2 linked regions of the Oryctolagus cuniculus genome follow. The protein of the gene in region 1 purifies or fractionates together with the protein of each later gene. This does not show direct contact. Links are inferred from orthologs where the notes say so. Each region holds a gene or a part of one and is shown in the gene's direction. Other genes may lie near its edges.

Region 1 (4,014 bases):
CATTCTCACCTACTAGCTCTCAAGGAATTTGCAAATCCCAACTAGACGGCTGGTTCTGATTCTGATTACCAAGCTTTATTTAATTCCAAATTCCAATCGCTCAGAAAATTCACATTTTCTCCTTAAAAGGTCCTTCGGAGAATCGTTCTCCGTGCTGCGTAACACAGCCTCCTTGGCTGTGTTTGTGTCTGAAGAAGGCACTAGTCTGACAGGAAGAATTACAAATCTGGAGTTAGTTTTGGCATCCCAGAGGGAAGGTGGGTGGAGCGTCTCACAGTAAATTAGGAATTCAGAATGAAAACGTAGTGGAGTTTATTTGGGTTTTCAGTGACACCTCAGAATTATTACACAGGCGAATCAGAGACAGCTCAAGGTAACGATGATTGCTCCCCTCCGCCCGGGAGGAGCTGGGGCTGAGAGCGGAGATTCCCTTCCTTGGAGGGTGGGATGCAGGCTCTCCCTTTCCAACCTGAATCAGGAAGTCGAAAAGAGGGTAGGAGAGTGGCTTGGGTCCCTGTTCTGGGCGTGATCTGGAGGGAGGCTATTTGAGGTGTGTGTCTGGATTCGGGCTCTGGGATCTAAGATTGAGATCTGAGAACTTTCTGGGCCTGGAATTTGAGGAGGGGGCTAGGTATGGGGTGTACGCCAAGAGCAGGATGAGTCGCATGTGATGGGCACTGAGAAAGGTGATGTTGAAACTTGAGGCGTGGGTCTGGGGAGGGGACGCTGAAGTGGATGCAAGCGCTCCGCGACAGTGCGGATGTGGGCGGCTTGTGTTACCGACTGCAGGTGCAGGGCTGTGGATGGGGGGGCCAGGGTGGGGCTGGGTCAGGACCAGCTCTTTGGTGTCTAAGAGGAGGCCAGAAGAAAAGAGCGGCGAGCGGCCGCAGCCTTTTTTCGAAAGCTAGCCAGAAGCAGACACACCCATCGCCCACTGGGGCTCGGGAGAGCCAACCCCCACCCGGCCTCGGGAACCCGGAGCTCGCTCCGGCTGGGGAAGGGGTCTGGCGGCACCGCCCCCGGGGAGTGTGTGGGGCGTGGCCGGAGGCCGGAGCCCGCTGCCCCGGATTGGTCGCCTGGCGGGCCCGCAGGCGGGGCTCCCGGCCTGGTCCCGCTGGGCCGCTCGCAGCCGGCGGGGAGGCGGGGCCGGCGGGGGCCCGGCAGCCAATGGGCGCGCGTCCCCGGAGCAGTTACAAAGGGCCGGAGCGAGGCCGCCGCGGCGGCGGGGGAGGTGGGGCGAGGCGAGGCTTGCTGAGGCGAGGCGGCGGCCGGGCCGGGCCGGGCCACAGGCGGCGGCAGCGGGACTATGGAGGCGGCGGCCGCTGCTCCGCGTCCCCGGCGGCTGCTCCTGTTCGTGTTGGCGGCGGCAGCGACGCTGCTCCCGGGGGCAACGGGTGAGCCCCGGCGCGGCGGGCGGGCAGGCGGGCGGCCGCGGGGGCGCGCGGGCCGGGCCCGGCCTCTGGCTCGCTCCTGCTCTTTCTCAAACATGGCGCGGGGCCGGGGGCGCAGGTGGCGGCGCCGGGGCCCGGGCTGGGCTTTCAGGGGCTGGTGGCCGCCAGGCGAAGCTGAGGCGGGCAGCGGAGGAGCGGCGGGGGTGTGTGTCCGAGTGCGCGTGGACGTGGCCGACAACCCAAGGCCGCCCGGGTTCCGGGGGCCCCCGGAGGAGAGGCGGCGTCAGGCGGAGCCGTCCGAGGTCGGGGGCTGCCCTCTGGGGCGTGAGTGGGCGAGGGGCGGAGGGTGAGGCTGGACCGGACCGGCCGAGCCAGGCTGCCCCGGCGCGTCCTCCAGGTCACTGCGTGGCCTTATTCCGGGCACCCCTGCCCCCAGGCAGGACTGGGCCTGGGGCTTCTTCCGAGTCCCGGGGCGGAGTTGGGGTCCGGGGAGGCTTCCCGGGCGGGCTGTGAGCCCTGAGCCTCGAGGGCGTTCCGGAGCGATGCGAGGGGCCGCCGCGTGGTGGAGACCCCCGGGGCGGCAGGGCTGCGCGGGCTTTGGCGCCGGCCGCGACCCCGAGCCGACCTGCGGGGAGCGGCTGCCTCTCGGGCCGGGGTGGCTTGGCAAGGGGAGCTGCGAAGCTTTGTGTTGAGGAGGCGGCGGCGGCACGAGATGCGCGGATTGTTTCCCTCTCCGTGCGTCTGGGAGTGTTGAAGCGAGTCCAGCCGCCAGAAGGCTACGGATTGTTTTCGTAGTAGAAACTTGCACGTTTGCTCACTCCGCGGGGTTGGGAGTGTTTGAATGGAAACGCTTTTATTTCTTTGAAGGAGCGTCGCTCCTGATGTTCCTTTTCTTGAGTGGCAGTTAGCAGCTTGAATCAGACGTCTGTGTAGCCGCTTTTCAAGTGAGACTGTTTGCCCAGCTTTTTTGGTCGCTAAACCAGGTTGGAGTAGGTGGTGGGTGCCTACCCTGGCGAAGGGTGGAGTGCCTAACTCTGTTAGAGACTGAACTAAAATATAGAAGCTAAATAGAGAACTTGGGTGAAAATGCAGCGAAATGGAACAAGTGTTAAACAAAAGCAAATTCAAGACCGGTGCCCAGCTATCCTAATAGCTACTGTCTATTAAGAGCCCACTGTGATGCAAATGCAAAAAGCACGCCAAAGCGTATTGTCCAGTCTCTGCCACTAACCCTTAAGGGCTGCTGGCCTTTGCCCCGTTGGTAGTTGGGAAAGCTGAGCTGCAGAGAGGTGAGGACCAGTTACTAAGTGCTGAGGTTAGGATTTGCTGTCAGCTCTCTCAGTTTCCAAAACCCATACACCAACTATCTGGCACAGCCCATTTTTTCTTTTTCCATCATCTAACAAGCAGTTGGTATTCATCCCTTAAGATGTTGGCCTCACAATTTGAGTGTTAGGTTGACTTCTTTCTACATCCTGACACATTCCTGAGTCCCTTGCCATGGGCCTGTATTAGAGGAAACAGAGGGTTTTGACCTGGCCTCAGGAGGGAGGCAAGATAACTGTGGACAGGTGGGATACACTGATACAGTTCTGCATCAAGCAGGCAACTTTCCACACCATTATTAACTTGAGTGACGTAGTTCAGTCACTGTTTTCCACCTAGGGTAGCACATACTCGACTTAATTGGAGGGACAGAACGCTGCTGGGTGGTGCCCTGGAGTTGACTGTCTGTGTGGGCACACATACAATACAGAGCTGGCCTGGATGCTGGTTACTCACAGCCCAGACCACCCCACTTTCCCGGCGCCCTGCTTAGGTGTGTTCGGGTTCCGTCTGTGCCTTCATGCTTTCTGAGGCAACCCAAGAGTTCTTTTTTTTTTTTTTTTTGGCTTCCCTTTTTAAGACTGGTGGTTTTTCCTTATTGTCTGGGGATCTGTTTTGCATTTCTGTGCCCAGCTTCTGCTCTCTCCAACATGGATTTCTCTAGAGCTGATTCCTTGTCCCTAGTGCAGCTTAGTTCCACCGTGCCTGCATTATACCCCACGCGAGAATGCTGTTTTGCTTCCTTTCTGCAATTTCATGACTTTTTTTCTTTGCAAACAGTCCGACTCTTTGTGCTGATGCCTCGAGTACCCCCTCCTTCCTTGGTGGATAGCCGTCAGCCTAGTCCTGCCGGTGATCTCCAAATCTGGTTGCTTTCTAGTGTTCCTCTGTCATGGCTTTCCTGTGAGCTGCTGCTCAACCAGTCTTCCCCTGCCACTTCACCAGGGCTTACCGGAGCCCCATGTGTGTGCACTAAGAACGATGCTCGAGGCTTCTGAGTTGGGCCATCTCTGAGTAGCCACCCCACTTCTCACTACTGCAGACCTTCGGTTCCCATGACTTCCTTTTTCCCACTGACACTCCTGATGGTTCAACCTTTTCAATACATAATTAATTTTGCCCCTTTTTGACGGGTGTGGAGACACAAATTTCTGGTCCTGACTTAATGTACTAGTTTAATTTTCCTTGAACTCTGTCCCTGGACTGTGTAGCACTTACAGTTACTTAACTGTACTTACGTGTAGTGCTCAGGGACAGTACAGGCACCCTGAGGACAGGGCTTCTGCTTTCTATTTCT
Region 2 (4,273 bases), on another chromosome or scaffold:
TTTGAATGAATTTCTAGCGCTGTCCCTTGTATTTCTAGTCTGTTGGGTCACTTTAATTATAGGGCTGCATTCAGACTGATCAAATGTTTGTGGAGGTCACTTCCCCGGAGAATCAACTGACCTCACTGATGAACTGAAAGCAATGACTGACACTGATTTAGGGTTAAAATTATTAATTTTATTAGACAATGAACATTCCACTAATGGAACAGCCTTAAGTAAACTAGCAAAGCGCACACAGAGAAATCCCCCGCGCTGTTGTCCTTGTGCGTTTCACTGTGCCACTTTTGCACAGGAAAGGATCTTCATAATTGCCATTTCAATGGCTGCACCCAGAAAAACTCGGCTGATGTAATATAAGCCACTGTTAGGCCCTTGGCTCACTCCCCTCTTGCTGTTATCCAAACGTCGTGAAGAACGTCTTCTGTATTGTTCTGTATTTGTTAAAAATAAATTCCTAGTAGTGCAAGTGCAGGATCAAAGTGTAAGGTGCACTTTTTTTTTTCCTCCTGAGATAACGAAACAAGGTACTGAAAAGGCTTTGCATATACAGCTGTCCAAGGTTGATCTGGGTGACAGTCTTCAAGGCGTTGGTGTTATCTCCCAGTCCTCGCTCCGCAGCTGGAGAAACAGCGAGCAGGTAACCTGATCTCGCCCATCAGGTGAGTGCTGGGCCGTGGTGGCAACTGCAGTTCCTGGGGGTTTGCAGAGACGCTGCAAGTGGGAAAAGTTATCCTTCCTCGCCTGGGAGACGCTGACTTCGGGGGACTCACTCCTCACCCAGCACCCGCACTCTCTCCGAGCGCCCTGCACACAGTAGGCGTCTAATAAGTGCAGCTGGTCCTGCACCGGTACACGCTCTACCTGAAGTGGGCTGCACACGAAGCCCCTCTAGGTGCCACAGCGCCACTCTGGCCCCTTGCCCGCTCCCTGCAGCACCCCCGTCGGACCCTGGCCTGCGGGGCGCGCCCGCCTCCCCCTGCCCGCGCCCAGGCGGAGCCCAGGCCGCCCGCCCCGAGCCCCGGGCACAGGCGCGCGCCGGCCCGCCCCGCCCCGGCCCCGCCCCCGCCGCCGGCCCCGCCCCCGCCCCATCTCCTCCCCGCCCCCCGAAGCCGACGAGTGGCGGCGGCCTCGGGACCCGGCTCCCTCAGACAAGAGGGCGGGTGGAGGAGGAAGCGGCCGAGCCCTGAGTCCTGCTGCGGCGCGCCGAGCACCGCCCGCCTCAGCCGGCCGGCCGGTCCCGTCGGCTCCCGGGCCTCGCCGAGCGGGGCGGAGGGGAAGGCCGCGGCTACTGCCAGGCGGCGGCGGGGGCGCGGGCGGAGGCGGCGCGGCCGGCCGCGGCTGCCGCTTTGTTGTGCGGCCCGGGCCGAGGAAGGAGAAGTGGGAGGAGGGGGGAGCTCGGCGTCCCGCTCCCTCCGCGGCTCATGGCGACGACGCTCGGCACATCCGGGACCCTCCGGCCGCCACGGCCGCGGCGCCGGCTGCCCGGGCCCCAGCCCCGGCCGCTGTGGTGACTCGGTCGCCGCGCCTCGCCGTCGCCCCCGCCCCGCCTGCCGGCCCGGAGCCCCGCCGCCGCCGCCGCCGCCCCGGCCGTCCCCGCCGCCGGGGACATGTCTAACCCCGGAGGCCGGCGGAACGGGCCCGTCAAGCTGCGCCTGACAGGTGAGGGGGGGCGGCCGGGGCGGCCGCGAGGTGGGCGAGCCGGCGGGGGGGTGCCTGTGGCCTTGGGAAGGGCCAGGGTCGCGATCAATGGTGAGTCGGGGGCCGGGGGCGTGGGAGGGCCTAGTTCAGAGAAGGTAGTTGGAAAAAGCACTCGCTCGGGTTGGGAAGCCCGAGGGTGAGTCGGGGGGTCTTTTGTGGAAGGGAGGGGTACGCCGGCTCGAACCGCAGGCGGAGTTGGGAGGTCGGGGAGTGTCGGCCGGGGGGTCCGATTCTAATCCGGGGGCTTCGGGGAGCGGCCCCGGGAGGCTGCCCAGGTGGGGTCGTGGAGGGGATTATTGAATCCGGTTGCTGCTGCGCGCAGTAAACACTCCTTAAAGATGGAGCGCTTAACGGGAGGGTGTGAGTGTGAGTGTGTGTGTGTGTGTGTGTGTGTGTGCGCGTGTGCGCGCGCGTTCGTTCCTGGCTTCTTAACTTGTGTGCCCGCGTGCGAAGCCTCCGCGCTCGGCTGCCAGCCCCGGCGGCCGTGCCACACACCTTGACCGCGCGGCTCGGGGAGGGAAGGAGACTGAGGTTGGCTTTTCCGGTGTGTCTGGCTGATCCCACGACTCTGGCTCATTGTACGCTCTGTGTTTTGGAAGTGTTTGATTGTAGGGTAGCATGTTTTGAGTTGTTCCTTGTAGGCCGCAGGACTTGTGGCTCCCTGCTAACTCTAGACCTGCCTTAAACACTTTTTTTTTTTTAAAGGGGCGAGGGTACTTGGCTAAGTGTACTCATACAACTTTCAAGGGAACTTTCTCTCACTTTCCCCACCCTCCCCTTTCCCTTTTCTAAATGGAAAAGAATGTCCATAGGGGTTTGCTAGATAGAAGACTAGTCTTAAAAAGTGTTTGATTCCAGGTGCGTGAAATCTTTATTACAGGTGCGTTTTGTGTATAGAGCTATTTCTGGTTTTCTTATATCAACATATCTCCCCCATTTTAAGGAAAAAAAATTATATTTGCTTGGGAACGTGTAGTTGAAATCAGTGTGTCATCATTCTAGTTTCACCGTTAATGAATTGAACACGTTTATATTTGGATGTGTGGTGAGAAATTTGGTTTTCCTTAGATTGGTGTGTGTATGTATGTGTGTGTGTGCGTGCACGGGCACCTGCGCGTGCGCCCGCGCGCTTCAGAATAAACTGTAATTATGTTTGCCCACACTAGACTTTGAGATTTATACGGACTAATTTTGTAGCTGAATGCTGTGTGTCACCTTCCAGTCCACTGGCTGAACCTTCTAGATAATAACCTGCAGTGAATTTGGTATTGGAGAAGTTAGCCTGAGTTGCCTGCAATTTTAAAACTATATTACCTCCATGAAAGTTTTGCCTTCCTTGGGGAAAATTGCGAAGAGCCATTAACTGAGTGGTTCTTAATGGAAAAATCTGGTTTGAAGGATGCTTGTCTTCCTTTCCTCCATTGAGTTTCTTTATTGTGGGAAATCCTTTAAGGAATCATTGTTGCTTCAGAGGTATCTGTTGCTGTTCCTATCTGGAGTCAGTGAGCATCGAAGGAACCTGTGCTTCCAGATGTGCACAAAGCATCAGAAATGGGCTGTTGCCATTGACTTCCCTCTGGGCTGTATACACGTACATAGAAAATGGAGGGGGGGAGGGAAATCGGGATTTTGATTTTCTGCGGATTACGTGAGTTTTGAGATTTTTAATATGATTCAGTAGGTCATAAAGTGTTTATCTGTGGTTTCCTTATTGCATGATACATTCTAAAAATTGAGTAAAATTAGATTTGTTAGGAAAGATTACACTTAATTTGTTTTCAGGGCAGAGGGAATGTTGGACTACATTTATAGAATGATTTTGTATATTTAGATTGTTCTGAGGGATTTTAAATACCCTTTGTCCCCTTAATTGTAAAAACAGTTTGAGGTACTCTCAATTTCTGAAAACCATTGGGAATTTCTGAATAGTTTTCTCTTAAAATTTGACAGATATTAAAAATATTGCCCTCCCCTGTGGTTACATTTGGTGGAATCTCTTCTGTTTTGCCAGGAAAGTTAACATATATATATATTTTTCATTTTAGTTCATCATTTACAAATTAGACAGTATAGATTTTAACAAATAGATTTCAAGAGCTGGATTCAATTAGCAGCTTTTTAGGACATAAACATTAAAGGGTTAGATGGAAAAGATTGTTTTGACTGACTGGATAAATGACAGGGCTGTGTTTGATGTGCGTCCAGGAATTGGTCTGGAGCTGGTGCCCAACTTCTCAGTCCATCTTGAGAAGCCAAATAAAATATTTAACCTAGGCCTCGTTTTGTTTAAAAAAAAAAAAAAAAAGTTGATTCTTTGTTAGGACCTTAAGAAATGTTTGGCATACCTTTAGACTAAGTGTTTAGCAGTTCATTTAGATCCAGGTTCCCTAATAGAGGAAAAATCTCTTCTAAAAAAAAAAATCCCCACAGTGAATTTTTTACTTTTTTATAGTACACTTGGGCTATAAGATGTTTTATTTAAAGTTATTGTTCTTTGCTTTATTTAACTTAATAGAAGACTAGTATTGTAAATTTATAGTGTCTTTGATTCCAAGGTGCTTTGTGAACTGTA

Evidence for each region.
Region 2: the proteins of TGFBR1 (region 1) and SMURF2 purify together in Homo sapiens (affinity purification with western blotting; 8 studies listed by BioGRID). This does not show direct contact. The link is inferred for Oryctolagus cuniculus from reciprocal best matches to the Homo sapiens genes TGFBR1 and SMURF2.

The regions. Positions count from the first base shown.
Region 1 is NC_091432.1:202,741,037-202,745,050, forward strand, and holds the start of TGFBR1 (TGF-beta receptor type-1), read left to right. Parts: upstream 1-1,213; 5' UTR 1,214-1,306; coding exon 1,307-1,394; intron 1,395-4,014. UniProt on the Homo sapiens protein: Transmembrane serine/threonine kinase forming with the TGF-beta type II serine/threonine kinase receptor, TGFBR2, the non-promiscuous receptor for the TGF-beta cytokines TGFB1, TGFB2 and TGFB3.
Region 2 is NC_091448.1:14,048,277-14,052,549, forward strand, and holds the start of SMURF2 (E3 ubiquitin-protein ligase SMURF2), read left to right. Parts: upstream 1-1,473; 5' UTR 1,474-1,610; coding exon 1,611-1,752; intron 1,753-4,273. UniProt on the Homo sapiens protein: E3 ubiquitin-protein ligase which accepts ubiquitin from an E2 ubiquitin-conjugating enzyme in the form of a thioester and then directly transfers the ubiquitin to targeted substrates.